4 linked regions of the Neodiprion lecontei genome follow. The main gene of each other region encodes a partner of the protein of the gene in region 3 in a complex. Links are inferred from orthologs where the notes say so. Each region holds a gene or a part of one and is shown on either strand. Other genes may lie near its edges.

Region 1 (7,303 bases), on a different chromosome or scaffold from region 3:
ATGAAGCCATCACAGTTAAGCACTTTTTTTATACTCTCTGCGTATGAGTATTATTTTCAACCTGGTAAGTGAAGCAGGAAAGAACCATCCGATTGTTCAATACGTTAATCATTGTCTTTTGAAAAGCTGAACAATGAATATAAAATGCATCGGGATGTCTCGATAAATGGAACAAACGCAAGTTAGAGCAAAGTGAAAGAAAAAAATTTTTTTTTTGGGTAGACGGAAGGGGAGTTAAAAAAATACATGAATAATTACGAGGCTCAGCCAACAATAAGCCGGGTAATAATCGGGGTGAACGACTTTTGGAAAGAGAGGTTTCCCTCAAAGGTTGTTTAAACGTGATGTGAATCGCTTTCTTTTCTTCTCTGTGCAATTCTAATACAAAATCAACAATTTCAAATGCGATTTACACAATCATTAGTGCTGAGTTAATCGAACCGAATAAATCAATAATATTTTTCGTGAAGGGTAATAAGTAGTCTCAATGCCCGGCTGACAACCGGTAAGAAATTATTTCACATCATATTCCGTGAATTGCGGTTCGTTCCGTATTTGAATAACATGGAACGATCAGAATAATCCTGACTCAGACTTGAGTAGCGAATTTTGATACGATATTCTTGCGCAGATCAAAGAGCAGTGATAAAATGAAGTGAAATATATTCGACAACGCTTACCTCTTTGTTTTTGCCGGAATTATTTATGTGCACCATTTTACCACGTCGTACGTTTTTTTTTTTCTTATTCTTCACCGCTCGACTGCCGTCGATCCCGTTTAGGGTTTTCAACCAGATAAATCGCTATTCTCACAATCTCTGTCGCTCTCTCTCTCTCTCTCTCTCTGGACAATTTTCACCTATTCATTTGACATTTTCTTACATATCTAAGCGTATGAAATCTATCGCGTCTTCTACTGACAACATTTCGTTCGATAAATAGCTAACAGCTCGCTAGTTTCGCTAGCACTCTGATGTTTCATGAGCTGCGAAATCCACTCTACTGTCCCACAAATCCAAAGTGGAAGGGGAAGTCGTTCAGCTCGAAAGAGGGTTTCAGCGCTCTCTGTGCAACTTTGTTAGAACTTGGAACTTTGATTTGCCGATTTTACCAACCACCCTAGGACGGAAAATTTTACCGTTCTGCAAGTCGGTTTGAATCGCAAGTTATGAAAAGAGTAAACAACAGTTACGAAATCCCTGGCAATGTTATTTGCGCCAATGATAGTGAATACCAACGAAACAATATATTTACTGGGCCATTGGAACGGATCTCACTGTTAGAAAATGTCAAAAGACGTTGATTAAGCTTAACTTTATCAAACTGGAACCGCCAAAAAAATAGGCCGATTATTTGTTGCATTTGTATAATCCATATAAATTTCAAATGAAAACATATAATAGCAATGTAACAAATGATCTGCGATAGTCATACTTGACAAATACCTAGACTTTTCAGGATATTTTTCGCAACAGAATACGTGAGCTTTTTTCTAAAATCAATTTGTTTTATGTAACGTTCACATGAGTCGGTGATTTTCAAGAAACTTAAATCCCCAGGTACAACCTGGCACTTAATTCGAATAAGTACAATTTTGAGAGCATCTACTTGCATCTTATTCCTGTATATAATAAGATTTTTTAAATCGGCAGCGCTGCCAGATTTCTGCAAGACACTACGATTCACAAGTTGAAACAGAAAGATACATAGGTACATGTACACAACCTTGCACTCAATTTTAGCCTCTAATTATCGTTTGATTCCAGTGTATCAGTTTTTCGAAATCTATCGTCCTTCGCGGATTTTTTGTTTTGGAGGTTCCCGCTTGAATTAAAAATATCATGAGCATTCAATTTCTTAATGAAGTGTCTAATTAGTACGTAATTAGGAACTTTAGATTCATACAACTTATAATAAACATTCGAAAATTCTTACACTATAATAGTTATAATGCACAAATGTAATTGTTGAATATCTGCTGCACTTTTCTGACAAAAATCTATTTATATGCACTCTAGATGTAAATTGTTTTTGAAACTACTTTAGACGAATTTTTTCTATCTCTGTAGGGAATGAAATATCAATTCACAATAATCAAACCTTTCTTGATATCATAGCTTGTGTTATTCAGACCTCTCAGATGCATTTTTATAACGTAGTAGATATTCTCTTTTGTGTTGACAATCGTTGTCGCAAATAACATAGTTAAAGATTCTTTCAACAATCTTTCCTCTTATCTTAGTATTTCATTCAGGTCTTAAGATAATTAATGTAGAAGAAAATTCATAATAATGCTCGCATTTGCCCATGTACCTCTGGTTGAGACTTACAATTAGACGGGATGTTACAATGGAATATGAATGAAAACCACAATACAGCAAGACAGTTGTATTCTCCACCAGGTCTGTTTTCTTGTTCAAAGTCCTAAGGGAGTAAACACAATGACATTAAATTTTTGAATACTTATTAATTTACATTGTTATTATCATTAGTGATCACTGCCTACACATATTGTCACAGGCATGTACGGTTTCAATTTACGTTTACATGGAATTATTTTTTACATCCCTTATAAAAGTATGAACTAAATAAACTTTAGTGCACTAGATATAATGATAAACAAAAATGATCCTTATAACATTTATCCTCTTCCTCTTCCAGGTTGTGAACCTCCTGGTTGGTTTTGCTGATTCAACCAAGGGGCCGAACCCGTGCCTCTGCCTCTCTGGTTTTGACCTCGTCCCCTGCCCCGTGCTAAAAATAGATATATTCGGTGATAATTTGCGTTGGAAAAAGAATATTGATGCATAAAAGTGCAAAACTTGTTAGAAAAATGAGTCTCTGAAACATTGCCAGTCAAACAGAAATATGAATTCGAATCGGATTGCATTCCACATTGCTGAAATAAAATGTTCAGTAGGCCAAAACATGTTTACGGACTTCGATTTTGATGAAAAACTGAAAGATTCTAGATCTATTTGTATTGGTGTGAAAAAACAAACCCTGTGCCCGTAGTATTGCAGACTTTCCTCTGCCCGCAGTGCCGGCGCCTTTGCCACCGGGTCTTTTGAACATCGGGGCATTTTTCAACATATCCGGTAATATAAGGAACCTTATTTTTGAGCCCCTAATGTAAACGTTCTCTAGCTGGCCTACGCGTCCATCGCGATAAGTGACGGTCAGGTTTTGCATTTGACAGTTCATGTTGTCTTCGGCTTCTATTAACTTTCCGCGGTAAACCTCGCCGGTGTTAGTTTCACAGGTTATAGTGTGACCTTCGGCTTCGTGAAGTACTTTAATTGGCACCCCGATCGACATTTTGACACTTATGTTCCGATAATCGACACTAAAATCTCACTAGCTCACGAAAAAACTGGCGATTGAAACGGATTTATACCCGTGTGAAGTCTGTGTCGTTGCATCAACGTTTGTCGACGGACGCCAGCCACTTTCGTTTCGTTTACGAAAATGGCCGGAGAGTTACTTAGTTCGAATTTTGGCCACTTGGCTTATCGTCGGCATCATGGGTCGGCATCACGGCTTACTTTAGAGCATATAATATACTATACATGCTCCAATACCCGTATTCAGCCCCCTGACACTCACCACTGCTCGTATACTAAAAAATTGTACGCGTTTTGTCCCCGTTTTTTAATTTCTCTACGTGGATACACTTCAGATGCGTATTTTACTAATTTACGGAGTGTGTTTATAAAACGGAGGCTTATAGGTTATGATTGCCGCCCTTTTTTTTTACATTTTATAGCGGAAATTTCACTTTTTTCCGTAAGAGGCGCTCAAATCGCATTTAGACAATTCCACTTACGGTACCTTAAAACTGGGGACAAGTTTTATCGCAGAGTGTTGTCTCCTTCCTACTACTCCGTGAAGGAATCCTTGTTCCTCAAGGAAGGAATATGAATACGGGTGTAAGAGTAATCCCACTCAAGTGGCATCGGAACCGTTGTATATGGAGGATTACAAAGAAATGAAATGTTTCGTTGATCAAACGGACCTCGTTTCTTTCGCTGGTAGATAGCGCTGCAGTCGCACAAGGTCAACACTTTCGGACTTTAGAGCATATAGGATTAGGCATGAATATATATGAGTAGGTTTTATGTGTACGTAGCTGCATTTTTTCGAAAACCCTATGATAGCTTGATCTCTGGCAAAGAATTCGTTCTTGTCCATCTCTGTCTAACCCTCCGTGTCACCAAAGTTCCCAAAAGTTGTTAGTCCAATCAATTGCAATCAACTTTGCCACCATCTTGTGCCAAGTCTTGAGCAAGTTCATCAGCATCCGATTGGCCAAGCTCAGCCATTTTGTGGCGAAAACAGCACCAAGAGCGGTTTGGACACACATCTATTTTGGCCGTGTTCGAAAATTGACTGACAGTACTGTCAGCAATCTTTTATCTCTTTTGCGCTACCAAGTTCGTGGATAGCTCTGACTCTGTCCTAGGGAATTTTCAGTACTGTCAGTCAATTTACGAACACAGCCTTTTTACATACATCCCCGTTGACATCAGTCGATGTCAGCGATTTCAGCGGCTATAAACTAGCTTTAAAATCAGGGCTTCTTCTACCGCGTAGATATTTAGGTATTTAAATACCAATTTCAGACTTGTATACCCTGTATACAAAGACCTCGCTTAAGGCTCAGTCTCACAGAGCACGGTGCGGCAACACAGATCCAGCAACCAATAAGATTGCAGGTTTTTGGAAGCGCGAATTCCGCTGCGCCAAGAACGAATGCATGCCGCGTCGCGGCTTGTGAGACTGAGCCCTTAGGCGTTAGTGATTTAAATTAATTCTTGGAGCACGTCGCACGTTAACTGAAGATGATGTATTGCGTACACTTATGCTCTAATCGTGAAATGCATGTTAGCCGAAAATAATTTCGGAGAAATTTCGGGAAATGAAGCTATGGCTGAATTTTTTAAATCCGATTTTTATATCCGCAATATAAAATAAAGTTTTTATTGAAAATTATATTACGTGGGATGAATATGCGTAGGTATATTTATACGTTTCACAAATTGTTTTACCTTTGCCGTTGGTTCATCACATGCGTGCGTACCATTTGTTTGCCTGATTTGTAATTATCTACATACCTATAACATTTTTCCAACAAAATCCTATCTAATTTACAACAAGGGACATTTACACTTTAAAATCCACTAGAATTCTCGGCTAGATATTTTTTTTATCTGTAATAAATTAAACAATACAATTGAAGTGTGTTTTGCCCGATTTGTGATTACCTACATACAATATTTTTCCAACGAAATCCTATCTAATTTTTAACAGGGAACATTTAGCAATTTAAAATTGACCACAACTATCAGCCGGATATTTTTTTCTTTCCTTATTTAATTAAACATATTGTGTTTGCAGGATTTGTAATTACCTACACACAATATTTTTCCAATGAAATCCTATCTAATTCGTAACAGGGAACATTTAGTAGTTTAAAATTGATTACAACTATCAGCCGGATATTTTTTTTTCTTAATAAATTAAACATATTGAACTCAACATTGCAGGAAAATTCTAAAAATTGTTGATTGATGTTAATAGAAGTGTGAAAAACAATTAATAATTAACATGTAGCTCACTCTTCAGAAAAAGACAAGAGCCATAAAATGAACCTATCTTACAGCGATTGGATTGAATTGTAAGAGAAGATAATTTACAATTTATTGGCCAGGTCCGGATAATGACTTGTCCATAAACTTCTTCTTGGCGAAACACAGCCACCATTTGCTGGGCTTTCCATCTTCTCCATAAACCTTTTCTACGACTCTAATGCCAGTTTCCTGGCGCAACTGTTGTAAATATTGCCTCATTAAATCTGAAAAAAACCATTACAACATTTAGAATATAATTCATATTTGTGTTACACTTGAAGTAATGGTAGCAATTTGTGAAAAAATTAGGAAAATGTGTTTGATTTTGTTATTCAATGGTCTTACCAGCATCAGACGCAGTATTTGGCTTAGCATAAACAGAGTTTAATGGGAAACCGGCTTCTCCTGGAATATCAAATTTGGAAATAGCCAAGGTGTACATCTCATTGGTTGCCTGATTTTTGTTTGCACATTTCTGTAATTTCTTCAAGCATTCAGTGATGTACAAAGTGATGTAAATTAAGACTCGGTCAGCTTCGCTCTGTAGAATATTTAAGGGCGAAGAAGTGGTAGTAATATAAGTGTACAGTACATACATTACTTAATGTAACTATACAAATTAAAAAATTACCTTAATTTCGTAGGTTCGAAAGAAAACATTTGCTTTAAAGAAATACAAAGCTTCGTCTATTATATCTAATTCTTTGTTACTGAATGACGGTGCTGGTCCTCGAAACTGGGTTTTGAACGGTAGCAATGCCATGTTGCCAACCGTTTGGTTATTTTCTAAAAAACTTGAATGATATGCCTGAAATTTTATGCAAAATTGGTATGATAATGTGAAAGTGAGAAAGTCTATCAATAGTAGAAAAGCAAAACACGTCAGAATTTATTGACACGGTAATAGCATGTTGACAGTTAAATTAGGTTAGGTAAAATTATAGTCCGTGATTTACTTCAAGAGTAAATCTGAAGTGATCTTTGACTATCAACATCTCGTTAGTAGGTCGATTGGATCAAGGTCAACGACACTGTTAAATTGTGACCCCGTGTTATGATTCATGATATCAAAGGGATACACCCATTTGACAGCTCCTGAATGCGGAAAACCAAATCGACAATTTCAAGACAGAAATAAGTCTTGTATTACTAATTTGAGTAAATTGAAAAGGATAGACTCACAGGCATGTTTGACAGATACTTTTTCGTAGATTGATTATCTTCTTAAACATGAAATTAAACGCCGCAAGGGTGGAGAAATTATTACAGGCAAACTATAATCTGGTGGGGTCTGGCCAGATATCGCTATATCATGTATGTCAGTAGTGGAGTTATACTGTCGCAATACGTATAAAACCGTAAAAGTCACACATGCGCAGAATGCCTCTACCAATCTTGCTGAAAGTCACGTGACTATCACACATGTGCATTAGGGTGTTCGTTGAAAGAAATATGCTTAGCTGCCCGCAGCACTCCGCTGGTGGCCGCGAGTCGAATCTTTGGAAAAAGCTGAAACTCCAATTCAAATTTGATTGCAATGACCAGAAAATAATTGACGTTCTACAATTATCAACGCATCTCGTAAAAAACGAATACGGCATTGTAGTTTACGTGATTTCAATGCTAAGTTTACAAATAATATTGTTTTCCACATGTGTTGGAGCACGTCAATT
Region 2 (6,813 bases), on a different chromosome or scaffold from region 3:
CTTATTGTATGTATATCGGTGCTAGTGAGCTGTGCAATTTTATGGATATCTACAGATATATTAATATTGTACTCAACATAAATCAGTAGACCTTTATATTAAAAAATGACTCACAGCAAATTTACACAATTTATGATAACAATAATAACAACTTGAGTAACTAAAGTCGGATTGTTATTTTTTTTAAAATATATTTATTAATTTTATGATAACTTAATTTACTATATATAAATATACAATATCTTCCTCTGTGCATCAGTAATAATAAAGTAATTGTCAGTTAGTAAGTTCCGTGCTTAAAAACCAAATATCAAAATAATACCTAAATCTTTAGTCATACGTCTGTCGCTTCTCTCTTTCCAGGACCAGTCGGATTCGTACCAGTTATTTTATTCTTTGGCAGTTTGCCTGGCCTCAAATAAGGATTGTCTATCACATCTTGTTGGGCTAATGCCTCTCCACTTTGCTCTGTCCCATCTGCTTGTGCTTGGGCTGAAAATTGAAACATCATCAGTACAAGATTCACCATTTTTCTGACTCATTGTCTCTATAGATTATGAACAAACCTTCTTCTTTGTCTTCTACAGGCGGTGCCTTCTTCTTTTTTTGAACCGGACTCGGTTCAAACTGGAACTCTTGATCAGGCTCAAAAACTTGATCCTGTGGTAGAAGTGCTGACAAATAGCTGGGAAATTGTGGCTTGCATGCTATCACTTGAGAGAAGTTGAGAAAATCCATTAATAAATAAAACAATAATTTTAGAATATAAGATATTACTTTTGAAAATTTCCAAACTCAATTAATTCTACCACTTACAGGGAAACATGGTGTTGTCTTCGGTCAAGAACAGACTATGCGTGTCCCCTGTTTTGGCAATAAATCTTGTCAAGGCTCGTTCAATGTCCCGTTTTTGCGATGCAGCCTTTTCCCTGATAGCTTCATATTCCGTCACAGGTTGTTTATGTGTCTGAACACCATTTGTCGATAGTTACACTAATGTGCTACCAAAATGATGAGTAGTTGATGGAAGTTATGACTCACCGGCGTCCTGATGTAGGCGTGAGGATCAGGAAATGGTGGCAGATGATTAGGTATGTGCGACGGATGATTTTGCTTTACTCCAGCTTGTAAAATATTGAGCTGTTTGGCCTGTATCTGTTGTTGAAGTTGGGGCAGAACAGTCCTGTTTAGACGTTTACCATACGTCTCCATCCCTTCTAATTTGATTCCCATGTTAATTAGGGCCAGAATAACATCGGCTATCAGAGGCTCGGTCCGCCCAGACAGCTCGCAGTAATTTTTCGCCGAATCTCCGACCTCGACGATAACTACAATGTTCATAATTACGGGTAAGCATTCTTTTTTAGTTTATAGGGTAAACTCGTTTAACAGCGTTCAAGAAGTCTTAAATTCACTTACAAGCCTGCAACATTTCGGTGAGGGTTTCCAGCGCCTGTCTTTCACACGTTTCGAAACCATTTTCGACCAAAATACTGCAAACTACATGATTTAACACTTTTCTTCTCGTGTTTACTGTTTGGGTCTCCATTTTTAATACAACTGGCTATTACTGTTTGGTCTTGTTTCCATCGAAGGGTTGGAGTCGGGTTAGGTTCAAATTATGAGCCAATGAGAAACGAGGTTTCAGGAGAAATTACTTTCTTCCTCTCAAATCTCGTTTCTCGTTTGGCTGTAATTTTAACCTAACCTGACTCTGACCTTACCACAAATGGTATTACATGCTTCGTGGACCTTACGATGGAAGCATCCTATAGTGTAAGAAAATAAAGCGTGTTCCACCGGTGGACGCTATTTCGTCCCGTTCTGCGCCGACCATAGAAGCCTTCTTGAAATTATATGACGTATCTTATAAGTACAGTGGAGATTCCTACTTGTTAAATTGTACGCTATATAGATGGTATTGAATGGGATCAATTGAAAATCCAAGATGGCCTTCATACGGTTGGTTCTTAATACGACTTGTTCGTGGAGATGGCTGCGCAGTAACACACCTTAGATGTTCAAATTTGTAAAAGCGTCTCACGTCGCTTTACGTTGTTCGTAATCTCATCGTTGGACAGTGTGAGCATCAAACTGCCCCGATTTTTCAATTAAAATTCAACACATCTATTAAAAATGAGCAAAGCACATCCCCCAGAATTGAAAAAGTAAGTGATAAACTTGCGTGTCAAACCGACGCCGAATAACCGCAGTTCTTTGCCAAGAATTTTTAGGTTACGTTGCTAAATTTAAGGTTAGACTTCACCTACCGGTACATTTATTGCCCATATATACTAATTTTTCATTATATTTTTCAGATACATGGACAAAAAGTTATCCCGTAAGTTCAGAGGATTAAATTAGTATCAAATAATATTGACTTGGTTTGGGATATTCATTTATTTTTTCAACGTTCATTGAACCTAGCTTTGGAAGGTTATAAATATTTGATATTGCCAAATATCATGTTGCGCACGAAACCCTCTTCTAGAAAATTGAGAGGAATGGTATTTGATGTATTTTATTAACGATACTTTCAATTGGCAGTAAAACTGAATGGCGGGAGACACGTGATTGGCATCCTGCGAGGATTTGATCCGTTCATGAACATGGTCATTGACGAAACAGTCGAAGAATGCAAAGACGGAACGAAGAATAACATTGGAATGGTGGTAAGAATTTAAAAAATCTAAAGCAATTGCTTGAGGAAAGATGCAAATCATTTTTTATATCCGCACGAAGTATTGACGACAATATCATTTTTGTTATTTCAGGTCATTCGAGGAAACAGTGTCATAATGCTAGAGGCGTTGGATAGAATATAATTATTAAAAAGAATCGGATGGAAGAATGTATTTAAGAGAAAAAGAAAGAATAAAAACATTTTGTATTTGTAACGCCGTATTTAACATTTAATTTTTCACTTATTTTACAGTGTACACATAGTTGTAAATGATTGAATGATAAGTTAGGAGTGACAATAATTTTGGAGAAAAATCATGAAGACTAAAAGAATTCAAACGTTTATGTTCAAATACAAGTATAAAATAAAACAAAAAAAACAGGATTCCAAGCAGCACAATTTTCTCACATTTCTTAGCTCGGAACAACGAGAAAGTGAACATTCAATACAGCTAAGCTGATTATTAAATATATTGTGCACAAAATATAATCTGGAAAAAAATGGTGCAATGGCATATAATTAATTATGGTAGGCATTTCGCTGTTACATGTATAACTGGATTTTATAAAAATACGAAAATATCGTACAAGGGGTTAGTTTGCCAATTTGAGATTCGTACTGCACAGTACAGAGACATACTGGATTAAATCAATTATTCTTATAATGAGTTATTCAGGTGAAGTGAATAAAAAAAAAATTATACAAATTCTATTTTAAAAATGTCAAAATACATTTGCTATGTTCATAAAATCAATCTTTTTACTGATGTTTTTATTAGACTGAATAATTCCGATTTAATGAAACCGTTTTGGAACTAAAATTTTAATAATACTATCTGCGATGAGCTGAGGATTTTTGCTGTCGTAAGTGCTCATCAGTCTTCGAAGCAGGAACAAAGGTCTGACTTACAAGAATAATAATAGGTATAATCATAAAAATAAATGCGTGCATACTTTATACATTGTATATAAAATAAAGAAGCAAATATAGCTTCCTTTGTCAGAAATACCATAAAATCTTACCCTCACATAGTTTTTAATTAAAATTTGACAATAGTGTGCAGAATACTCGGTAAATACCTTAATTTTTTTTCCTCTTATCTTAAAATTTTACATTTGCAATTATATGAATTCGTTTGAGGATATCCTTGTTTAAGATAATATAGAATCATTCTACACACACCTTATTACTTTCGTAATGTGCGGTAAGCAGTCAAAAAAAAAAAGAAAGGGGAGTACAAAGAAAAGTTTCAATGCAATGCAGAAAATTATATTAGCTAAAGTAATAACTTAGTGTATAATGGCCTACTTATTAGCAACGAAATATAACGAGAGAACTACAGAAAACATACAAATCAATAATGATTTTTTTTCATAAGAATCCAGTGTACCCCTCATCCTTCTGAATTCAGCAAATGTGGTTATCAAGTGTTCTTTTGTTTGAAAATTGTCGGTTACACTTACGGCACTTAATTAATTCAACACAATTATTGTGCATGTGCAATCTGTACTCGCGATTAGTGTGAAATTTCTTGCCGCATCTAACGCACGTTATGAAATTTTGCGGACTCAGATTCATGTGAATACGGAGTTTTCCATCATTTTTAAATACTTTCAGGCAGATCTCACACTGGAATGGTCTCAGCGGTCCAGTTGTTGAATTTTTCAGGCAAGCTGCAGGAGGGCAAATTATCGTTAGATCATTGCTGTTCAAATTCACTCAACTGCTTTTTTCTATAATCAAACAAAGGTACGATTTTTTGAGTTTTTTTTTAAATTTTCTTTTTAAATTTTCTTCTATACATTTAAACTCTGTATTCTACACAATTCACTCGTTATGATACTTACACGACTGTTTGCAGGAACTTTTGCCACAGCTATTGCCATGTTTATCATAATCAGTCTGGCTGTGAAACAAGCTCTTGCATGCGAGGCATTCCACAGTTTCTTTGGGTTCATTAGCTACATGATCATCAAGCAGTGTGGAGCTATCGAAATTTTCTTTGCAAATGGTACATTGAAAATTAGAGTTCGATCTCCTAGTGCTCCTCCTGACAACGATAGGCTTAGTTTCAGTTTCCTTCAAATTGCATACATTCTGGTTTCCCTCTGCATTGTGCACACCGTTTCCTTTAGACTTCGTATGGGCAGGTTTATTTGCAATCTGTTTTTTCCTCTTGTTTGAATCTGAACCATTACGACTACTCTGAAACTTCGTAGTTTCATTCACAGCTGCTGCCTCCTCTATGAGCTCCTCTTTAATTCTCATCAGGATTCCATTTGCCATTGACTCACAATCTGACACCTCAATTTCGGACGATTCATTTCCATTCACTGCCTGTTCCTGTCCTTGCAGAATTTCATGCAATGCTTCTTTTTCCGTCATCTGATGACACGACACCAAGTGTGCCTGAAGATCTGCCTTTACAAGATGAATATGGCAGTATGGGCAGTCCGTAGAGTTGTGTCGCTTTCGTTGATGCGTTTTAAGGTCAGTGCTCGATCTGTAAGACAGATCACACTCTGTACAGTGGAAGGGTCTTTCACCGGTGTGGGACCGAATGTGAATCTCAAGTGCCGATTTGCATATAGATATCTGTCCACAAATCTCGCATCTGCATTCGCCATCATTGTGCTCATTGAGCATATGTTTTTTCATATCGTATCTATTGCTAAATGGTTTTTCACACGTTTTGCAAGTGAATAACATTTCTCCCGTGTGCCCAGCTACGTGCATTTTGAAATACCAATCTGTGCTGAAACCCTTGAAACAATAAGGACATTTGAAAACCTTTGAATTTTTCTCCTCAGATTTCCTACGAGCTTGAGATTTCCTTCTTGTGTTCGTCGCACTTTTTGCTGTCTGTGAATTCTGCTGCTCTACATTCTCTGTTTCATTATTTTGTGCAACAGACCTTGGCGGGCTAGGAGCTATCGGAGCTGGCTGAATGGCCTGCAGTTTTGAGACAGGTACAGGTTTGGGAAGATTGTCCGGTACCAAGCAAAACGCAGGAATACCGTGAGTTTGATGCCGAAGCGAAGGGGCTGACTTCAGGCTGGTGATAGGGACGACTCTGATGGGGGTCAGGTAAGGTTTGAGAGCTGTATTTTGGCTCGAGGTTACGATATTTGCCTGAGAAGCGAACCAATCATTGAGAGACATCGGCTGAACGATGTTGGATTGCGTGACCGAGGAAACTTTAATGTACTGTTGACCAAGCCTTGCGTGTTGAGGTGGAGTGCAAAACACATTTGTTATCTTGGGTTGCTTCACGGCGGGTCCTTCGTTGGTCTCAGAACCCGGTCTTTTGCCGACGATTGTATTCTGTGGTGGGAAAACAATCGGAATAGAGGGCAAAAGTTTTCCAAAGACTTCTCGGGAGTTAGTACTTTGTACAACGCTCGGCTGGTTGCCCGGGGACAGTGTTTTTATTGTGACAATTGGCTGATGCTGGGGAATGGTTTTTGGGATGATGATCAGCTCCTTGTTATTCCTCAGGGACTCCATAGTCTTTTTGTACTCAGTGGCCGGGTCCAAGTGTTCTTTTTTCTTGGTCTTGGCTGCCTCGATCATCTGCAGTTCTCGCTCCCTCATTTTTTCCCTAAGTATCTGAGCACCGTCTGTTTGATTGTGCCTATAGACCTCCTTCCTGATGCAGCTTTTGTGACTCATCCTAGACCTCCGTGTCTTGAATACAACGCCGCAAATGTCGCAAGCACTCATCAAATCGCAACGGTAGAGTTTAATCAACGCTCGTCGACATCGGTCATGATCTATGCTCAATGCATCGCACAGCGGATTTTTGCAATGCTTTTCAACCGGGGCATTGATCTCGTTCTCCTCTATCCCCACAGCTAGCATTGGTAGAACTCCACCCTGGTCAACGTACTGTAGCACGGAAACGTCGCAAACGATATTTTCGCATGGGCCGTGATGACCACATTGTTTTTGCTCAGGCTTGACGACCATCAGGGCTATTTCAGACTTTCCATCCCCCTTAGCAGGTAGCAGCCTAGATTTATCTTTGCTTTCCGTTTCCACTGTCATTACTGATATTTCAGACCCGATGCCTTTGCTCTGCGCCACCTTGCTCGGCCCATTCTTCTTATCAACCGGTAAATGGACATTGT
Region 3 (8,925 bases):
CATTGAGGTTATACAGTACCAAGTCGTAACGTAGTCGTAACGATGAAAAGACTTTTTATCGACGGAGGAAAACAGTGCAACAGCACAGGCGAAGAGGTGCAAAATTTTTTATCAGTTTTCGGCTGTAAGATTCGATGCGTTAATCACACCTAATGTAGACATATATACGCAATCCTTTTCCTTTGTAAAATGACCTCGATATTATAGAGGTCTCGAATGAATCGATTCCGTCATTTTTCATACTCCGTCAAAGACAATTACGTCGATATAGTGCAGCCAAGAATTTATTCCAGCACTTTTCAAAATCGCGAAATTTTTCACCAAAAATACAAAGGGGTTAGCCTTACTTATTTTTGGGCCGAAAAATTTTTGGTCTTTGATTCGATTTGCATGACCTATTCTCGACTGATTAGACTCCCAGGAACTCAGAAAACGCAGCTAAAAGAGCGTGGGATCAACGGGAGACGAATGACGATGGAAAAAGCATCAGTCGAAAAATGTGAAAAACTCAGGTTCTGGTTTTCTGCCTGTAACTTTTGATCCGTTTCTCGCAGCGTATTGGGACTGCGCCCAATCGATTTCTCTCGCAAAACTACGTCAGAAAAGTGCACGAAAGAATTTATTCCAGCACTTTTCAAAATCGCGAAAATTTTCACCAAAAATACAAAGGGGTTAGCCTTACTTATTTTTGGGCCGAAAAATTTTTGGTCTCAGATTCGATTTGCATGATCTTTTTTTGATTAATTAGACTCCCAGGAACTCAGAAAACGCAGCGAAAACAGCGTAGGATCAACGGGAGAGAGATGACGACGAAAAGATCACCAGCTGAAAAATGTGAAAAACTCAGGTTCTGGTTTTCTGCCTGTAACTTCTGATCCGTTGCTCGCAGCGTATTGGGACTGCACCCAATCGATTTCTCTCGCAAAACTACGTCAGAAAAGTGCACGAAAGAATTTATTCCAGCACTTTTCAAAATCGCGAAAATTTTCACCAAAAATACAAAGAGGTTAGCCTTACTTATTTTTGGGCCGAAAAATTTTTGGTCTCAGATTCGATTTGCATGATCTTTTTTTGATTAATTAGACTCCCAGGAACTTAGAAAACGCAGCGAAAACAGCGTAGGACCAACAGCAGACGAATGACGATGGAAAAAGCAGCAGTTGAAAAATGTGAAAAACTCAGGTTCTGGTTTTCTGCCTGTAACTTTTAATCCGTTGCTCGCAGCGTATTGGGACTGCGCCCAATCGATTTCTCCCGCAAAATTACGTCGAAAATATGCACGGAAGAATTTATTCCAGCTCTTTTCGAAATCGCGAAATTTTTCACCAAAAATACAAAGGGGTTAGCCTTACTTATTTTTGGGCCGAAAAATTTTTGGTCTTTGATTCGATTTGCATGACCTATTCTCGACTGATTAGACTCCCAGGAACTCAGAAAACGCAGCTAAAAGAGCGTGGGATCAACGGGAGACGAATGACGATGGAAAAAGCATCAGTCGAAAAATGTGAAAAACTCAGGTTCTGGTTTTCTGCCTGTAACTTTTGATCCGTTTCTCGCAGCGTATTGGGACTGCGCCCAATCGATTTCTCTCGCAAAACTACGTCAGAAAAGTGCACGAAAGAATTTATTCCAGCACTTTTCAAAATCGCGAAAATTTTCACCAAAAATACAAAGGGGTTAGCCTTACTTATTTTTGGGCCGAAAAATTTTTGGTCTCAGATTCGATTTGCATGATCTTTTTTTGATTAATTAGACTCCCAGGAACTCAGAAAACGCAGCGAAAACAGCGTAGGATCAACGGGAGAGAGATGACGACGAAAAGATCACCAGCTGAAAAATGTGAAAAACTCAGGTTCTGGTTTTCTGCCTGTAACTTCTGATCCGTTGCTCGCAGCGTATTGGGACTGCACCCAATCGATTTCTCTCGCAAAACTACGTCAGAAAAGTGCACGAAAGAATTTATTCCAGCACTTTTCAAAATCGCGAAAATTTTCACCAAAAATACAAAGAGGTTAGCCTTACTTATTTTTGGGCCGAAAAATTTTTGGTCTCAGATTCGATTTGCATGATCTTTTTTTGATTAATTAGACTCCCAGGAACTTAGAAAACGCAGCGAAAACAGCGTAGGACCAACAGCAGACGAATGACGATGGAAAAAGCAGCAGTTGAAAAATGTGAAAAACTCAGGTTCTGGTTTTCTGCCTGTAACTTTTAATCCGTTGCTCGCAGCGTATTGGGACTGCGCCCAATCGATTTCTCCCGCAAAATTACGTCGAAAATATGCACGGAAGAATTTATTCCAGCTCTTTTCGAAATCGCGAAATTTTTCACCAAAAATACAAAGGGGTTAGCCTTACTTATTTTTGGGCCGAAAAATTTTTGGTCTTTGATTCGATTTGCATGACCTATTCTCGACTGATTAGACTCCCAGGAACTCAGAAAACGCAGCTAAAAGAGCGTGGGATCAACGGGAGACGAATGACGATGGAAAAAGCATCAGTCGAAAAATGTGAAAAACTCAGGTTCTGGTTTTCTGCCTGTAACTTTTGATCCGTTTCTCGCAGCGTATTGGGACTGCGCCCAATCGATTTCTCTCGCAAAACTACGTCAGAAAAGTGCACGAAAGAATTTATTCCAGCACTTTTCAAAATCGCGAAAATTTTCACCAAAAATACAAAGGGGTTAGGCTTACTTATTTTTGGGCCGAAAAATTTTTGGTCTCAGATTCGATTTGCATGACCTTTTCTTGACTAATTGGACTCCCAGAAACTTAGAAAACGCAGCGAAAACAGCGTAGGATCAACGGGAGAGAGATGACGACGAAAAGATCACCAGCTGAAAAATGTGAAAAACTCAGGTTCTGGTTTTCTGCCTGTAACTTCTGATCCGTTGCTCGCAGCGTATTGGGACTGCGCCCAATCGATTTCTCTCGCAAAACTACGTCAGAAAAGTGCACGAAAGAGTTTATTCCAGCACTTTTCAAAATCGCGAAAATTTTCACCAAAAATACAAAGGGGTTAGCCTTACTTATTTTTGGGCCGAAAAATTTTTGGTCTCAGATTCGATTTGCATGACCTTTTCTTGACTAATTGGACTCCCAGAAACTTAGAAAACGCAGCGAAAACAGCGTAGGACCAACAGCAGACGAATGACGACGAAAAGATCACCAGCTGAAAAATGTGAAAAACTCAGGTTCTGGTTTTCTGCCTGTAACTTCTGATCCGTTGCTCGCAGCGTGTTGGGACTGCGCGCCGTCGGTTCCTCCTCTGAAATTATGTGTCCGTAGTGCACCGAAGAATTTATTCAAGTATATTCTTGAATTGGGCATATTTCAGTGGAAAAATCCAATAGGATTTGAAGAGCGATTTGTGACTTGATACCTACCATATGCTTGATACTAGTAGTGTAGCGCACAAGCAGAGTGTTGTCGATAGCGCCTCCTACAGCGAAAAGCCTGCGAAAATGGTCGCTGTCTTAACCGCCTGTCGCAGCACTCTAGCGTAGGTTTAAGCCGTAATCTTGAACTATTAGGTCCCATGGTTGTTCAGAAAACAAGCGGTGTTCGTTTTTTGGTTATATTTTCTGTCTGTTTTGATTGGCTTTCGTCAGATACATTTTTCAATTTTGTTTCTTAATTTCTCAACGTTATTCACATGATCATCAGCAAATGTATCAAAAAATATTGTTTGTGTTAAACTAATACAACCGACACTTGTATAGCGATTATCGTGACCGACTGCTTTTGTCGCCAGTGACTGTTTCAATAGCTATGGTAATTATTGATCTACAATAAGTCGTCAACTACCTTGTGGACCAAAATCTCATCGCATCGTTTTATGTAGCATGTACCACGTCATTATTACTGTCACTTCAGTCTTAATTCACCATTCTTTTCTCATGTTTGGCAGGACGTGCAACGACACTCGGTACATACCCTGGTGTTTCGTTCTCTTAAGAGAACACATGATATGTTTTTGTCAAATCAAGGAACCCTTCCTCCGGTTGATCCTTCAACGTAAGTACCATACTCATAATGTAGCCCCAATTGTGAACTCATTAAACACATATACATAATGCAACACATTCTGATGTGCAAAAACCGTCTTAATAATAAACGTCTCTTTTTGTTAACAGGGAATTGCTGAAAAAAGCCATCAAATCTAAAGACTCTTACTCGCCAGTCTTAGATCGAGTTAGAAGAAACAATCACCTAAAATCTAATCATGATCACAATTCGGACCCTCCCCCACCTGGTGGTAAGTTAGTCGTCACGGTCTTTGTTTAATTTAACTGAACAAAATAAATCGAAACTATCTGGCGAATTCATCATTCATACGATGTCGCTTTTATCTTGCCCAGATGATACCTTCAATGGAGGTAACAATTCATCTGCGATGGTACCTTACGGTGGTGGAATGGGCCACTCAGTCAGTTTGAGCTCATCAATGCCCACTAATACCAACAGCACTTCGTCAACTGTCATGAATCTCCCACCAAAAAAGACCCCAGCAATAGCAAAACCACGCTGGCATGCTCCTTGGAAATTGTATAGAGTAATAAGTGGCCATCTTGGTTGGGTACGGTGCTGTGCTATCGAACCTGGCAACGACTGGTTCGCTACAGGATCAGCTGACAGAGTTATCAAGGTACAAGGGCATCTATTCCTTAGTTGTTAATTTATAAGATTTTATTTAATTTCGTCCTGAGCATTTACATCATTTTTGTTAAAAATTTCTCACAAGATTTTTAACTACATTTTCAATGTCATTAAAACATCGACTAGTACAGCATTAATGAAAAATGCAACATTTTTACAGATTTGGGATCTTGCTAGCGGAAAGTTGAAAGTATCTTTAACCGGACATATCAGTAGCGTACGTGGTCTTGCCGTGTCTCATAGACACCCGTATCTATTCTCATGTGGCGAAGATCGTCAAGTCAAATGCTGGGATCTAGAATACAACAAGGTAAATATATAGTACAGCGCTGTAAGAACTTGGAATTATCAATAATACCTAAAAGTGTCAATACAGAAAAGTAAAAGAAAAAAGATAGACAAGTCTAAAAGTACCCAAAATATGAAAATGACATCGAAGCTAAAAATACTATGTGACCAATAAGATAAGAATATTAAACTGCATTTCCTAGGTTATAAGACACTACCATGGTCACTTGTCAGCAGTTTATTCCATGGCTCTGCATCCAAATATTGATGTACTAGTCACAGCAGGCAGAGATTCGACCGCTCGCGTTTGGGATATGCGAACGAAAGCGAACGTTCACACGCTGGCTGGGCATACAAATACAGTAGCTAGTGTGATATGTCAGGCAGCAGAACCTCAGGTGAACGAATGATGTCCACAGTAACCGATTTTATAAATGGGGCTTGCATCTAAATGTATTTGAATTTTTAAGGTCATAACTGGTAGCCACGACTGTACAATCAGACTGTGGGACTTAGCTGCCGGAAAATCTAGAGCAACTTTAACAAATCATAAAAAGAGCGTTCGATCTGTTGTGTTTCATCCGGCGTTGTGCGTATCTTAATTTTATCTAATCTTGCATCTCAATCTCGATTTATGTTGCCCAGTTTCCCGCATTTATTTGATCTTTTCGGATATTCTAGATACATGTTCGCGTCAGCCTCACCCGATAATATCAAACAATGGAAATGCCCAGAAGGAAAATTCATCCAAAACTTGTCTGGTCATAATGCAATTGTCAATTGCCTGGCCGTTAACGCGGATGGTGTACTTGTATCTGGTGCTGACAATGGTTCCATGCAGTTATGGGATTGGAGGACCGGGTGAGATTTCAAATCTTAGATATTCATCTGTTGAAACTTTGAATTTTTTTTTTTTTTCAAATAATCCTAATAATTATTCTGTATCCGGCACCTCGTTTTAGTTAGTAATATAATTTTTATGGTTAATCAATGGACTGAAATAATTGTAGCAAATGATTTATTTTTATAGCTACAACTTCCAGAGACTTCAAGCCCCAGTTCAACCTGGTTCAATGGATAGCGAAGCAGGCGTTTTTAGTATTACATTCGACATGTCGGGGACACGTATGATAACTACCGAAGCCGACAAGACGATAAAAGTCTACAAGGAAGACGACACAGCGGTGCGTTTAGTAATTTATATTAAGTGTCGCATGAACTTATTTACCATGATTGTTTCCTATTCATATTACTTTTATTTTCTGTTGTAACAACAAATCGTAAACTTAAACATAATTTAATGCAACGACCAAATGGTATCACAGTAATCTATGTCTGGAATTTCTGTTTCGTTTCACCATTGATTATTTATTGTAATCGTTAATAATCACTTCCGTGATTAATTAAATGTGCGAATGATTTTTTACAGTCCGAAGAAAGTCATCCGATTAATTGGAGGCCTGACATCATTAAGCGAAGAAAATATTAGTGAATGTATAAACATTAAACAAGGTTGTGTTTATACAATAACAATTTAATGATAAGTTGTATTGTGAGACGATTTACGAATTGATTGTAAATAAAGCTTCCATTTCCACAAATGCTGATTACGATTAGTTATAATGTTTTAAAGTTCCTCGTCCAAGTTGAAATCTTCCTCCGGATAGTCTCCCACCTTGATATGTGCAGGCTTCAAAAAACCACCGTAATTCGGCAGGCAATCGAAATACCTTTTTCCTTGGACGCTAGAAATACAAATAATCTTGAATGAATATTAACTATTTAGAAAACAACATTAAAATGACCAACTACCAAAGTGACTTACGATCCATCATTTTTTCCCAATGGCTCATCATATTTGACACCAATCCACCAACCAGACTTGAATTCGGTTTTACCTGCAAAGAATTATTCAAAAATTATCAACCCAGTGCAAATGAACATAAAAGATACAATGGAGGCAAAATATTGTGCAATTGGGCAATCGTTGCTCATCATTACTTACCAACATACATGACCGTTCCTCTACGTCTCGGTTGATTTGGTACTTGAGTTTCGCAACGATCGCCGACCTTGCAAGCTCTGGCAGCGGCTTCATCTGCCTCCTCTTCTCGACGTTTCTCTTCTTCCCTTCTCTTAGTTTCTTCCTCATTATATTTACCCAACTTGTTTCTCTCTAGGAATGCTTTCACTGTGTCTGAAAAAAAAATTTCTGCTGTCATTATGATTATTTATTGAAGCATGAAATTCAAAAATTATTCTTTAATGCCCAAGTAATGATTAGTGGAAAAGTAGCATTTGGCCAGTTTTTACTGTTGGAAGCCTGAGTTTTTATACATGCATCAGATGTATGAATTACCGGATCGTTTGGCATACTCCGATTCAGACAGTTCGAATTTATCCACCTGTGCAGTTTCATCGTCAGGTCGAATGCAGTTATCTATCACCTGTTCAGAGCGAGAAAATATTTTGACAACGATTCGATATAAAGAAATAATAAATCAATAAATAGAAGCAGATGGACAAGTTTTTTCTCTTTTACTTTATCTCAGATTTTTATCAGCCAATGAAATATTCGGTAGAGAATTTGATAAAGAAAAAACAAGCCGACTGTTTTACATGACAGAAAAAAGAATTCTACATGAAGTTTTTATCTTACATGAACTCTCATTCCATCATCGATCGGATAAGATCCCAACAAGCGGTCACCCTGATCAGGTTTGCAGATCAGTTTGTCATTTTTATCGTACACCTCTAATTTCATGGTGGCTGAATTACCTCCTGTAAGGAGTTCGAGTTTACCCTGAAACAAGAGTCAGTTGTCAATAACATTCTGGCAGCTAAATATGAGTTAAAAAAGAGACATTGGATTATGATTACTCTTTTACTGTTATTTGCCTAACTTTGCTCAACTATTTTAAGAAAATTTCAACATCGGTCTACCGGTTACAAACCTTAAAATCATCGAGAGTGATTCCCTTTTGAAATCTCCTTTCGACACAGCAAGTTTGTTGCCCCGAATTGGTGATGTTTAGGTTAACGAAGTCTGAGGTTACCACGCTGTATTCTGTCATTTTGAACAACCCCTATTCGCTTGATAAGAAATAGATTTGTTCAACTGTACGGTTTGGAAAAATCCTCGAATTTTCGATATTCACCAGTCAATCTAGACAGTAAAACTAATATACGCAGTAGATGAAACCAAAGAATATCATCAAACTGTACCACAACTGTACCAATCGTGACAATGTAACATAGCCTCTACATTTGACAGTTAGGCGTCGGCTGAATAAATGAGGGAAACGCCTGCACTACTGCAACATTCACTATTAGCCGTATGTTGAGTAGGCTGCAATGAGGCGACCAAACCCACAATCTTCCGTACTTGATGACCCAAAAGATTGAACTAATTTTGGAAACATATTTGTGTTTTCCCGTAATTTTGTACTGTTTCCTGTATTCTCACGAAGCAAGTACATCAGTTATGAAAACACAAGACATAAGTGAGAAAGTACGAAATACATTGTATTTCCGCAGCAGGACCTTAAATAAAATAATTTAATATCCGTAAATGAATATTTCCAATTTATGTATTTATGTATGAACATTCAGTTGGAATCTGTATAGTCGGAAAAAAGAAAACTCTTTGTAATTATGTACATGCATATGTATAATTCTGATATAATTGTCTTCTTTTTCTCATCGCCGCTCTTCCCTTTGCCGAATCTTTCACTCTCCCTTTTTCTCGTTCTTACTGGAACTCCTTGAACATATCTTTACTCAGTTTTTTTCGATCCACGAGCTTTCCAAGCTGACTGGAGATTCCAGGAGAAGTATAACGAAAAGAAATGTACTTGAGAGGCAAGAAGCAGAAATGCATACCATAGTAACCCATATGGCATTCCCTGTAACAAATTAAATTAATAAATAAACGAGTTAAGCTAACAAGTGATATTTGGTAAAATTAGTTAATATTTTTT
Region 4 (8,512 bases), on a different chromosome or scaffold from region 3:
TTAATTTCGAATTAGCTTCTTAATATAGTTACAATCTAATAGTTAAAAAAAAAAAAAAAAAAAACTCGTTTATTAAAAAATTATAGTTTCGGTTACACGGTTGTGCAGAACATAAATAAATTTTTCTCTTACAAGTAGTGAAAATGTGTTTCCATTTTGTGCAAGTTTAGTAGCCAAGTTTTATACAAAATGAACCAGAAATTTTTGTCATCGGATAATTAATTTCCTACGATGCGGCGTCACGCATAATTTTTGAAGAACACTTTCTTTTGTTCCTCGTGTTTACGGTATTCTTGGAGTGTAGGGACAATTTTTTTGCCATTTACGACACATTGATTCAAGGTGGGCTGGATTAGTTAATATTTTTCACAATATTCAGTACACAATATATTACAACTTATACGATGCTTTTATAGATTGTGTATATTTTATCCCAAGGCGTAAAGATAGTGAAAGAAAATTTGGAATCGGTAATTGGGTCTTACTTGAGAAAAATTACGCATGTTCTTGAATGAATATAAAAATGAACAATGAAAATGAATCTATCACGAGGTTCGTTGCAAATTAACCGGAACGAAGAATAGAATACTTGTGGATTCATTTAAAATTTTAATAAACTGTTCAAATCAGCTTTCAGTAATACGACTTTTTAAAAACGTGACGAAAAACAGCTGATAAGAATTTATTTTACTTTCTGTATAATATTGACGTAATTATCACACCATATTTTTCTTCTCAATTGTTAAAATCCTAAATAACGATTATTGTCAATTCGTAGTTTTCCAAGGCGCTAGAAAATATGGGAAAAAATCTCCTTCTCACAGGGAAAATTTTGAAATGTTCAAAATTACATAAATGACATAATTGAAAAATCAACGGTTGCTTCTCTATAATAAGTTGAAGCGAGGATAGTTAGACGTTGCACTGTTGCACATTTATTTAATTTCAGTTGATAATATCGAAGAGGTTGTTCAAAAAAAGATACGTGATTTGTAGTCACCTAAAATAAAAAGAGTACCGAAAACGATAATCGAAGGTAGTATAGCAAGAAGATAACCCGAGAATTTCCTTGCGCGTATCTATAATTTAACATGCAGATCACTTTGTCACAAACCATAGTCATCCTTATCGTAAGAAAATTTTTTTTTCATTTAATATTTAGTGTCACAAGTGCGCGTCGTAGATTTTTATTATCGTCAAGTGAAAAACGTGTCGGCGCAAAAAGTAGAAACACGAAGCTTTAGAATTTGATACACGTGACAAAAAAAAAGTTGATGATCGATTGCAAAATCTTCGGAAAGTTTGGAGTCTCGTGTGCAAAATAATTCAATAATTGATGAAATTTAAAACTTTGAAAAATATCGAAAAACTTGACTACCAGGAGTTTAGATGTGCATATATGTATATGATTTTAGTAATGGGTGAAGCAAGGTGGAAAACTATAGCCCAAAATTTGCAAAGAAATTAAAATTATTTAATTCACTTAACAGCAACATTCGTCAAATCCCAGAATCAACTTTGTTCGAATAACAATTTCATACTCAACGGTGATCGATATCAATTTAAACTAGTTTTGCCATTTCATACGAATTCTTTAGTCATGAATTTATTCATTTTTATATTTATTTATTCATAAATTTATAAATTTTGCAGGATAAAAGTCGTTTTTACGTAGATCAGTACAAATTGGCGTTGATAGGTAATTAGCCAGTGCTTACTTGAATTTAGAATTGAAGTATCAACTCTGAATTGTTTTTTATCACTTATTGTACTCCAAGAAATTGATGTCGGAATTATTTTTAATTTTCAGAATTATTTTTTACTTTTTTATTCGAAAAATTTTATTGGTAATCTGTTTAAATTCCCTTGATTCGAAACATTGAATAAAGTAGCAGTTGTTTATTTTGAAAATTAGAAAAACTTAACTGAGAATTAATTCTTCCCCTTCGACGAGCAAATTCGTATCATTATACAATTACGTTCAATATTTAAATTAAAAAACTCAAATCAGGAATTTTTCGGAAAATTTTTATTCTATCACCGCAATTAAAAATTAACGCTGTTAATCGTAATTTTTAGTTTGAAACTGAAGAATAGCCCGACACTGTTACTTTGTATTACGTAATTGTGTAAAAAATGTGCAGGCAGCGGGTTGCAAGACGATGCGTTCGCCGGGTGCCAAATACCTTATTTGAAACCATCCGTATACAATTGATAACGATTTGATTACAAATAATCCGGAAAATCCATCTCGGGACACTCGGCCGAAATTCCGAGAGGGGACGCTGTAACGAATAGCGAATAAGATATTCCAGGCTTTTTGTTTCTTTTGTCTTTCGGTTCCGAGCAATTATTGCTGGTAGCGTTGAAGCGTCCAGGTTTCGAATTGAGAGTTGCGCGCTTGAGGTTTGTAAAACATGTTCATCCTTTGGTTAACTTCTTCGGCTATTTCTCCTATCGTTTGCATCAACGAAAGATTTCCAACTCTGTTAACAGTAAACCAAGTGTATGTTTATTGTGCATCTATTTAGATAACACAATTTTTGTCGATCCGATGGAGTTACATTAGCATTGCTGAATTTGGTTCGGAGTGATCTTGCATAGTTGAAACGTATACGGCGTCGTCACGGGGTTGTATGAAAATTTCAGTCTGTTCCGGTTCGTCTTTTCCATAGGCATAATAATATTCATTCGACTCTGAAAAATCTGGATATACGCGGTAAACGATGGTAACGTCAGTTCTCGTCGTCTTTACGTACCGACCATTTGTCGGATTGGGTTGCGTGTGCAAGAAAGGCCGCAGAGAGCGCCACGTGACGATCAATTTATCACGTACACATTTCATTACGAAAAGTCTCATAAGGCTTTCAGTCTTTACGTGTCCCTCAGTCAACGTCTGTTGACGAACAGAGTTGCATCGGTTCGTGCTGTACAACTTGGGGAAGAAGTCACCAGAAGTCAAGGATACTTTGAACAAGGTAAGTTGTAAACATATTAGGAATAATTATTACCGTGCCTCAATTTTTCTTTCTGGTGCAAGTGAATCGTACACCAAAGACAAACTTTCTCGCGAGCAACAGTTTATTGTCATTTTTCCTTTTATTATTTGTACCGTAATTTGAATTATTCTACTCCAATCGTCCGGTCTAGGGACTATTCTTGGCCGGCCGGTGGCATCCCTGCTATTTACGAGACAATCCGACAAATGGCGGAAACGACGGATCTTGGTCGGTGTTTGACAATTTGAAACGTCGTACTTTTTGCTCGGATTTTTAGCGTCGCGAATGAATCGAAATATCAGAAATTCAGTAGCGATCTTAACATTAATCGCAGATGCCTACATTTAGTGAAACCCACTAGCCATATTTTGTAAGTATTTTACTTTTGATAATCCACTGGGTTATAAAATTTTTCGGATGCTTTCGCCTTCAGTCAACTCGTGTACATAACCTCAAACAACAAATGTTGGTGTGTGTTGAGTGGGAAAATTATTAGTGGCAATCAAGGAGACTTGATTGAATTGACGTCACTTATTGCATCCTCCCTACACGCAATTTGGCGTATTTCCAGAGCTGCGAGATTATTTTTAACATTCCGAATAATCTTAACGCCAGAATAAAATTCAATACGGCAACCCAGCGCATACTATCGGATGCCTTAACCTCTAAAATTATTTGTTCGATTCCATGTCTATGGTTTAATTCAACAGGAAAATCTGGATAATGGGGCGAACGAAAAGGGAACGCAAGGCTAGCAGTTCAGAGAACGAGTCTGATAGTTCCAAGGACGAAGGTTCGTCGAATTCAAGTGATGCCAAAGAACAAGCACCGCCTTCGCCGAAGCAGCGCAAGAGGCAGATGGAGAAAGAAGAACGTGTAAGGCCAAAGGAAATGCGCCAGGACAGAAACGTAGAAAGATCAAGATGGGAAAGCCCGGACGGAAGGAAGCGGAAGCACAGTCCTCAGTCTCAGAACCAACGGTACCCGGCGTCACGCGACGACAGAAGAAAGGGTCACAGAGAGCGCCAGGACGGCGGAGAGGCCAGAACCAAGTGGGAGAAAAAGGAGAGAGATAGAGATATAGACAGAGATTTGGAAAAGCGAAGGAAGGAGGATAACCGCAGCCAAAATGAATCTGACAACCAGCGGAGGCGGGAACGAGATGCTCCGGAAAGGTCGAACAGAAACTACAACGGTGAAAATCGACCCGTCGATAGGTTTGACGGCAGAAGGCAGAACGAAAGGAAGTCCCCTCGGCGAGACGAGAGGAACAGGGGGTTTGAAGAGCGAGAACGAGGTAGACATAACAGCGGTAGAGGTGGCAGGCGAGGGGGTAGAGGAAACAGATTCGGGGATGGCGATGGGCCGAGAAGCAGTTTCGACGGCTCCAGAGTAAAGGGTGAGCCGTCGCCGGAATGGGGAAAAGCGGATATGAAAAAGGAGAACAATGGGAAGCCAATTGAGAAGGAGAAGCCAAATTTCGAGCCTTCTGGAAAGTTGACGGAAGACGCAAATACTGTGAACGGTGTGGTGATAAAATACACAGAACCAATGGAGGCGCGAAAGCCGAAGCGCCGTTGGAGACTCTATCCCTTCAAGGGTGAGAAGGCGTTGCCCACCCTCTACGTCCATAGGCAGTCTGCTTACCTGATGGGCAGGGATCGCAAGGTTGCGGATATTCCTCTGGACCATCCGTCTTGCTCCAAACAGCATGCCGCTCTGCAGTTTAGGCTTGTCTCATTCCAGAGGGAAGATGGTGGCGAAGGAAAGAGGGTCAGACCGTATTTGATAGACCTAGAATCTGCCAACGGCACTCATGTTAATGACATCAAACTCGAGCCTAAAAGGTATCACGAGCTCTTGGAGAGGGATGTTCTGCGCTTTGGATTCAGCTCTCGGGAATACGTTCTTCTGCACGAACAGAGTAAGGATGATGCTCTGGATGATGACGTCCCATTTACATCTGCTGTTCCGGTGAGAAATTATTAATGACTTTTGTTCTTTCGTCTTTCTACTTGATGTCAAGTTTCCGTACAGTTGTAATTTACCTTTCATACTTTGACAGCGATAAAACGATATAATCTCAAAATTTTACGAAACAAGACATAAAACCAGGCAACTAATGAATAATAAATCTTGGATTTAAATTTCTCTTTGCTCCAAAACTGTCAAAGATTTGTCATCAGAAGGATACTTTTAACCGAGCAGTTTTTCTGTTATATTGCAATAATCCACAGCGCACTGTATATTTTGTTGTTGGCTCTACATATTTACCATAGAATTCAGTAAAATTCCCCAAAGAAATTTGCGGGCTCAAATTAGTTGATGAGAATGTAGTTTCCTTAATTTTATTTCATCATTTTTGTTTGCAGAAATGAGCTTAACGGGCTTACTGAGCATACGCGGTGCTCGAAGAGGTGGAATGTCAATGTAGAACGATGATATTGCAATTTTATGGAACGCAGGTGTATCGCTAGATTGCATCGGTAGTTTGTTGGCAACGAGCGCTGGAAGAGTGTTTTGAAGTTTTAGAAAGATTAAATGTAAATCAATAGATCTTGATGAAATATTTTATAGATATTTTAAGATCAAGGAATCGAGAAATTTGGATTGTTATTTCTTCAGAATTGTTTACTTTATTGTCAATCCTGATTCACAAACTTTGTAATGTTCTATCCGGTAAGACATGGCGTACAAAATTGAATCTGTACACTACCAATGTGAAAAATAAAACAATCGCATAAATTAAAAATATAAAATGTCATGAATCTGTGTTACCTCTTCATTTCACTGTCGGTTATTTTATTTATTTACATCGTTACTTCCTACGTTACGCATTAGGACGTAGACGGATAGTGGCCAAGTATCAGATACGTTGGGGTAATTTTGGTCACCATTTTCGGCCCACGAATCTTTGGATATTTATTACTTAAACAATATACGAGCAATTTTTCACTGACGCAAAGTAATATTTACAAAAGTAATTACATCATTCAATTATAATCGTTTATATTCCATGTAATGATTCCTTCTTTCATTTTTTATACAATATAATAAAATTAGTATCAAATGATCAAGGAACAATACAAATGTTACGTATGCAAAATGACATTTGAAATGGAAATGAAGAAAAATAACTACAATAAGACATGAAATGATTATTTTAAGCGAACTCGTTTTCAAGTTTATTCAAGTTGACTGGAAGATGCTTAATACTTGAGCATGTGTGTGAAAATGTGGTGTAAGTTGATGGATGAAAATCTAATGATGACATACTAGAAAAACATTTAAAAATATAATTATTTACAATTTGATTCACGCTAGCTTATATTTATTCATTTATCTTAATTATTATCGTTTAAAAGGCACTTTAAAAGTTAAATATATGAGCAGCACGTTGAAATAATTTAATTACAGCAATATCGGTACACGCCTTTAATATACGTTTTTAAAGCTTGATAAAATATCTCAACCTTCAACTTTGCGTATAATAATATTGTTGTCTATGATAAATTTAAACTTAACAATTTCGTATACATCGTCGCAATCGTTTGCCTTTGATTTCAACAACACGTACGTACGTCAATTCATAGTTCGGCATTTTAAAACAGGTTCCAATGTTTCTTACCGATTACTTATCATAATAGTAACGAAATTATGTACTACACAAATGATCAATCATGGCAGTCAAGGCTCTAAATATCTACACTATAATATCCAGTTTCTCAAATATCACCTTTCATCATTACCCATTTACTCTGACCGCGTCAGAGTTTATATTTGTATAGGTAGCGATCTCATTTCCATCTTCACCTGTATCTGGTGTTTGCCTGAGAGAATTCAGTAAGGCACTATTTATTGCTAAAGGTATATTCGCTTTCCCGTTTTGCAGAATCGAATGTGTCCTGCTTAATTTCGAAATTGTATTTCTTCCACCATTCGTATCGCTCGATAGAATGTTTTGCTTAGTTGCCCCATTCTTCTTCAATGGCAAAGTATTCTGAGAATTTAATAACGACGAGCTTGGCCTAGAAGGAGTCAAGCTTGTCGACGAGCCGTGGGAGCTGCTGCTTCTACCGCTCAAACTAGTCAGCGATCCTCTGATTTCTGTTGAGATTTTTTCGCTCTTGCGACTGTCGTCAATGGAACTCGGAGAGTTCGTCGCGGCTATACATTTGGAAACATGATTAGCCAACCTTGAGCTATCCAAAATGCAGAATTTTTCTCCTGTGCTGGAAATGGAGGCTCTTTTTGGTTCCGTCAAGTCAAAGTTATTCGCCGATTCTCTTTTTTGATTTACAACATCTTCCAATTGTTCACGATCCAAGTTTGAGCTTTCATTTTGCGAATCTGATAGTTCTGGTATTTTGCTTTCCTTTTGAACTTCATTTTTATCCAGGCACTGTACGGGTCTCGGTACTTCATAGCCACCAGTCGGAGTATCTCTAACATCAGGTACGTCGTTATCTGCTATTAATTCTAAATATTTCGGAATTTCTCCGGACGCTAAAAGTGCCGTCGTGTTGCAAGAATCGGGTAAAAATGGCTGCATGTCTCTACTGCCTTCGGAGCTTGTAGATTTCCAGGAGTTGCCTAAACAAATTTTAAACGACTGTCAACAATCTTGTATTAGCTCACAACGCCGGCGACCACTTCGGAGCTTGCAAAGTATATTCCAATTTCTTTGATGGTTAGTCGCTGTATTCCTTACGCGTTGGGGAGTGTTAAGGTTTGTTAACTTTGATGGATATTCTGTCGTAATGACAATAACGTAAATTTATGTGAAGACGCTCATAGCCGGTTAAATAAATGGGCTAAATGACATTAAACATGAAACCTACCTGAGTGGTTATGATTTTGATTCTCATCAGCAAAGTAAGCCATGTTAGACACGCCTGCAAGCACAAGCCATGCGATGGTCATTTCAAAATTTTTTCAAGCAATGTTAATCAAGAATAAACGGGAAATTTTCTCAAGTCAATAGAACAGTTTAATCCCCTTTTAAAATTGACATGAAACAGACGTTCCAATTTGGCGGAATTTTCAATTATAACCGAACGAAAAACTTTTGCTTCTTCGTCACAGAGTAAGATAATCGTGTTTCTTGAATTGAATCGAAGCGAAACGGCTTTCAGTAGCATCGTATAGATATTTTCACAATGAATGTAACATATTCATGCAAGATAGAGATCAATGCGAATGAGGTTGAGGCACGATTGAATGGAGTTGGAACAAACCTTGTTTAGATAAGTAATGGCCAGCATGTGCAGGGCTGATCGCGGCATCTTCTGTTCTGCTTCTGAGCGTTATTATATGATCCAAACAAGCCTTAAAACTGGGTCTAGCATCCGCCGTGCTCCAGCAGCGCAGCATCAACTGATGTAACGGCGTTGGACAATTTAGCGGCTTTGGCAGTCTTCCGCCAGCTCTAACGTGGTATAGCACTTCCAGATTTGTTCTTGCCGGGTATGGCTGCTGGCCCAGGGAAGTGATTTCCCACATCAAAACACCGA

What was found.
Region 1: pleiotropic regulator 1 (region 3) and small nuclear ribonucleoprotein Sm D3 share a complex: the UniProt entries of both Homo sapiens proteins name them as parts of the minor spliceosome. The link is inferred for Neodiprion lecontei from reciprocal best matches to the Homo sapiens genes PLRG1 and SNRPD3.
Region 2: pleiotropic regulator 1 (region 3) and probable small nuclear ribonucleoprotein G share a complex: the UniProt entries of both Homo sapiens proteins name them as parts of the minor spliceosome. The link is inferred for Neodiprion lecontei from reciprocal best matches to the Homo sapiens genes PLRG1 and SNRPG.
Region 4: pleiotropic regulator 1 (region 3) and FHA domain-containing protein DDL share a complex: the UniProt entries of both Homo sapiens proteins name them as parts of the minor spliceosome. The link is inferred for Neodiprion lecontei from reciprocal best matches to the Homo sapiens genes PLRG1 and SNIP1.

The regions. Positions count from the first base shown.
Region 1 is NC_060261.1:15,627,543-15,634,845, forward strand, and holds small nuclear ribonucleoprotein Sm D3, read right to left. Parts: upstream 3,700-7,303; 5' UTR 3,319-3,699; coding exon 3,003-3,318; intron 2,755-3,002; coding exon 2,642-2,754; 3' UTR 2,640-2,641; exon of another isoform or gene 2,425-2,639; 3' UTR 2,374-2,424; downstream 1-2,373. Other genes in the region: TLC domain-containing protein 3A, read right to left, coding at 681-716; actin-related protein 2/3 complex subunit 3, read right to left, coding at 5,700-5,854, 5,976-6,171, 6,262-6,438, 6,813-6,818. UniProt on the Homo sapiens protein: Plays a role in pre-mRNA splicing as a core component of the spliceosomal U1, U2, U4 and U5 small nuclear ribonucleoproteins (snRNPs), the building blocks of the spliceosome.
Region 2 is NC_060262.1:2,038,520-2,045,332, reverse strand, and holds probable small nuclear ribonucleoprotein G, read left to right. Parts: upstream 1-1,935; 5' UTR 1,936-2,136; coding exon 2,137-2,168; intron 2,169-2,318; coding exon 2,319-2,341; intron 2,342-2,547; coding exon 2,548-2,672; intron 2,673-2,774; coding exon 2,775-2,825; 3' UTR 2,826-2,897; downstream 2,898-6,813. Other genes in the region: transcription initiation factor TFIID subunit 8, read right to left, coding at 335-492, 567-713, 817-967, 1,042-1,328, 1,420-1,549; zinc finger protein 60, read right to left, coding at 4,091-4,356, 4,531-6,813. UniProt on the Homo sapiens protein: Plays a role in pre-mRNA splicing as a core component of the spliceosomal U1, U2, U4 and U5 small nuclear ribonucleoproteins (snRNPs), the building blocks of the spliceosome.
Region 3 is NC_060264.1:30,350,937-30,359,861, forward strand, and holds pleiotropic regulator 1, read left to right. Parts: upstream 1-3,523; 5' UTR 3,524-3,769; coding exon 3,770-3,772; intron 3,773-3,908; coding exon 3,909-4,015; intron 4,016-4,134; coding exon 4,135-4,256; intron 4,257-4,359; coding exon 4,360-4,646; intron 4,647-4,817; coding exon 4,818-4,967; intron 4,968-5,148; coding exon 5,149-5,343; intron 5,344-5,415; coding exon 5,416-5,534; intron 5,535-5,626; coding exon 5,627-5,806; intron 5,807-5,975; coding exon 5,976-6,216; 3' UTR 6,217-6,374; coding exon of another isoform or gene 6,375-6,434; 3' UTR 6,435-6,546; downstream 6,547-8,925. Other genes in the region: tubulin-folding cofactor B, read right to left, coding at 6,573-6,690, 6,771-6,843, 6,951-7,142, 7,305-7,392, 7,605-7,748, 7,900-8,019; protein jagunal, read right to left, coding at 8,722-8,850. UniProt on the Homo sapiens protein: Involved in pre-mRNA splicing as component of the spliceosome. Component of the PRP19-CDC5L complex that forms an integral part of the spliceosome and is required for activating pre-mRNA splicing.
Region 4 is NC_060266.1:20,091,263-20,099,774, reverse strand, and holds FHA domain-containing protein DDL, read left to right. Parts: upstream 1-2,893; 5' UTR 2,894-2,978; intron 2,979-3,205; exon of another isoform or gene 3,206-3,369; intron 3,370-3,709; 5' UTR 3,710-3,722; coding exon 3,723-4,973; intron 4,974-5,371; coding exon 5,372-5,377; 3' UTR 5,378-5,767; downstream 5,768-8,512. Other genes in the region: proto-oncogene tyrosine-protein kinase ROS, read right to left, coding at 6,745-7,592, 7,841-7,894, 8,237-8,512. UniProt on the Homo sapiens protein: Required for pre-mRNA splicing as component of the spliceosome. As a component of the minor spliceosome, involved in the splicing of U12-type introns in pre-mRNAs. Down-regulates NF-kappa-B signaling by competing with RELA for CREBBP/EP300 binding.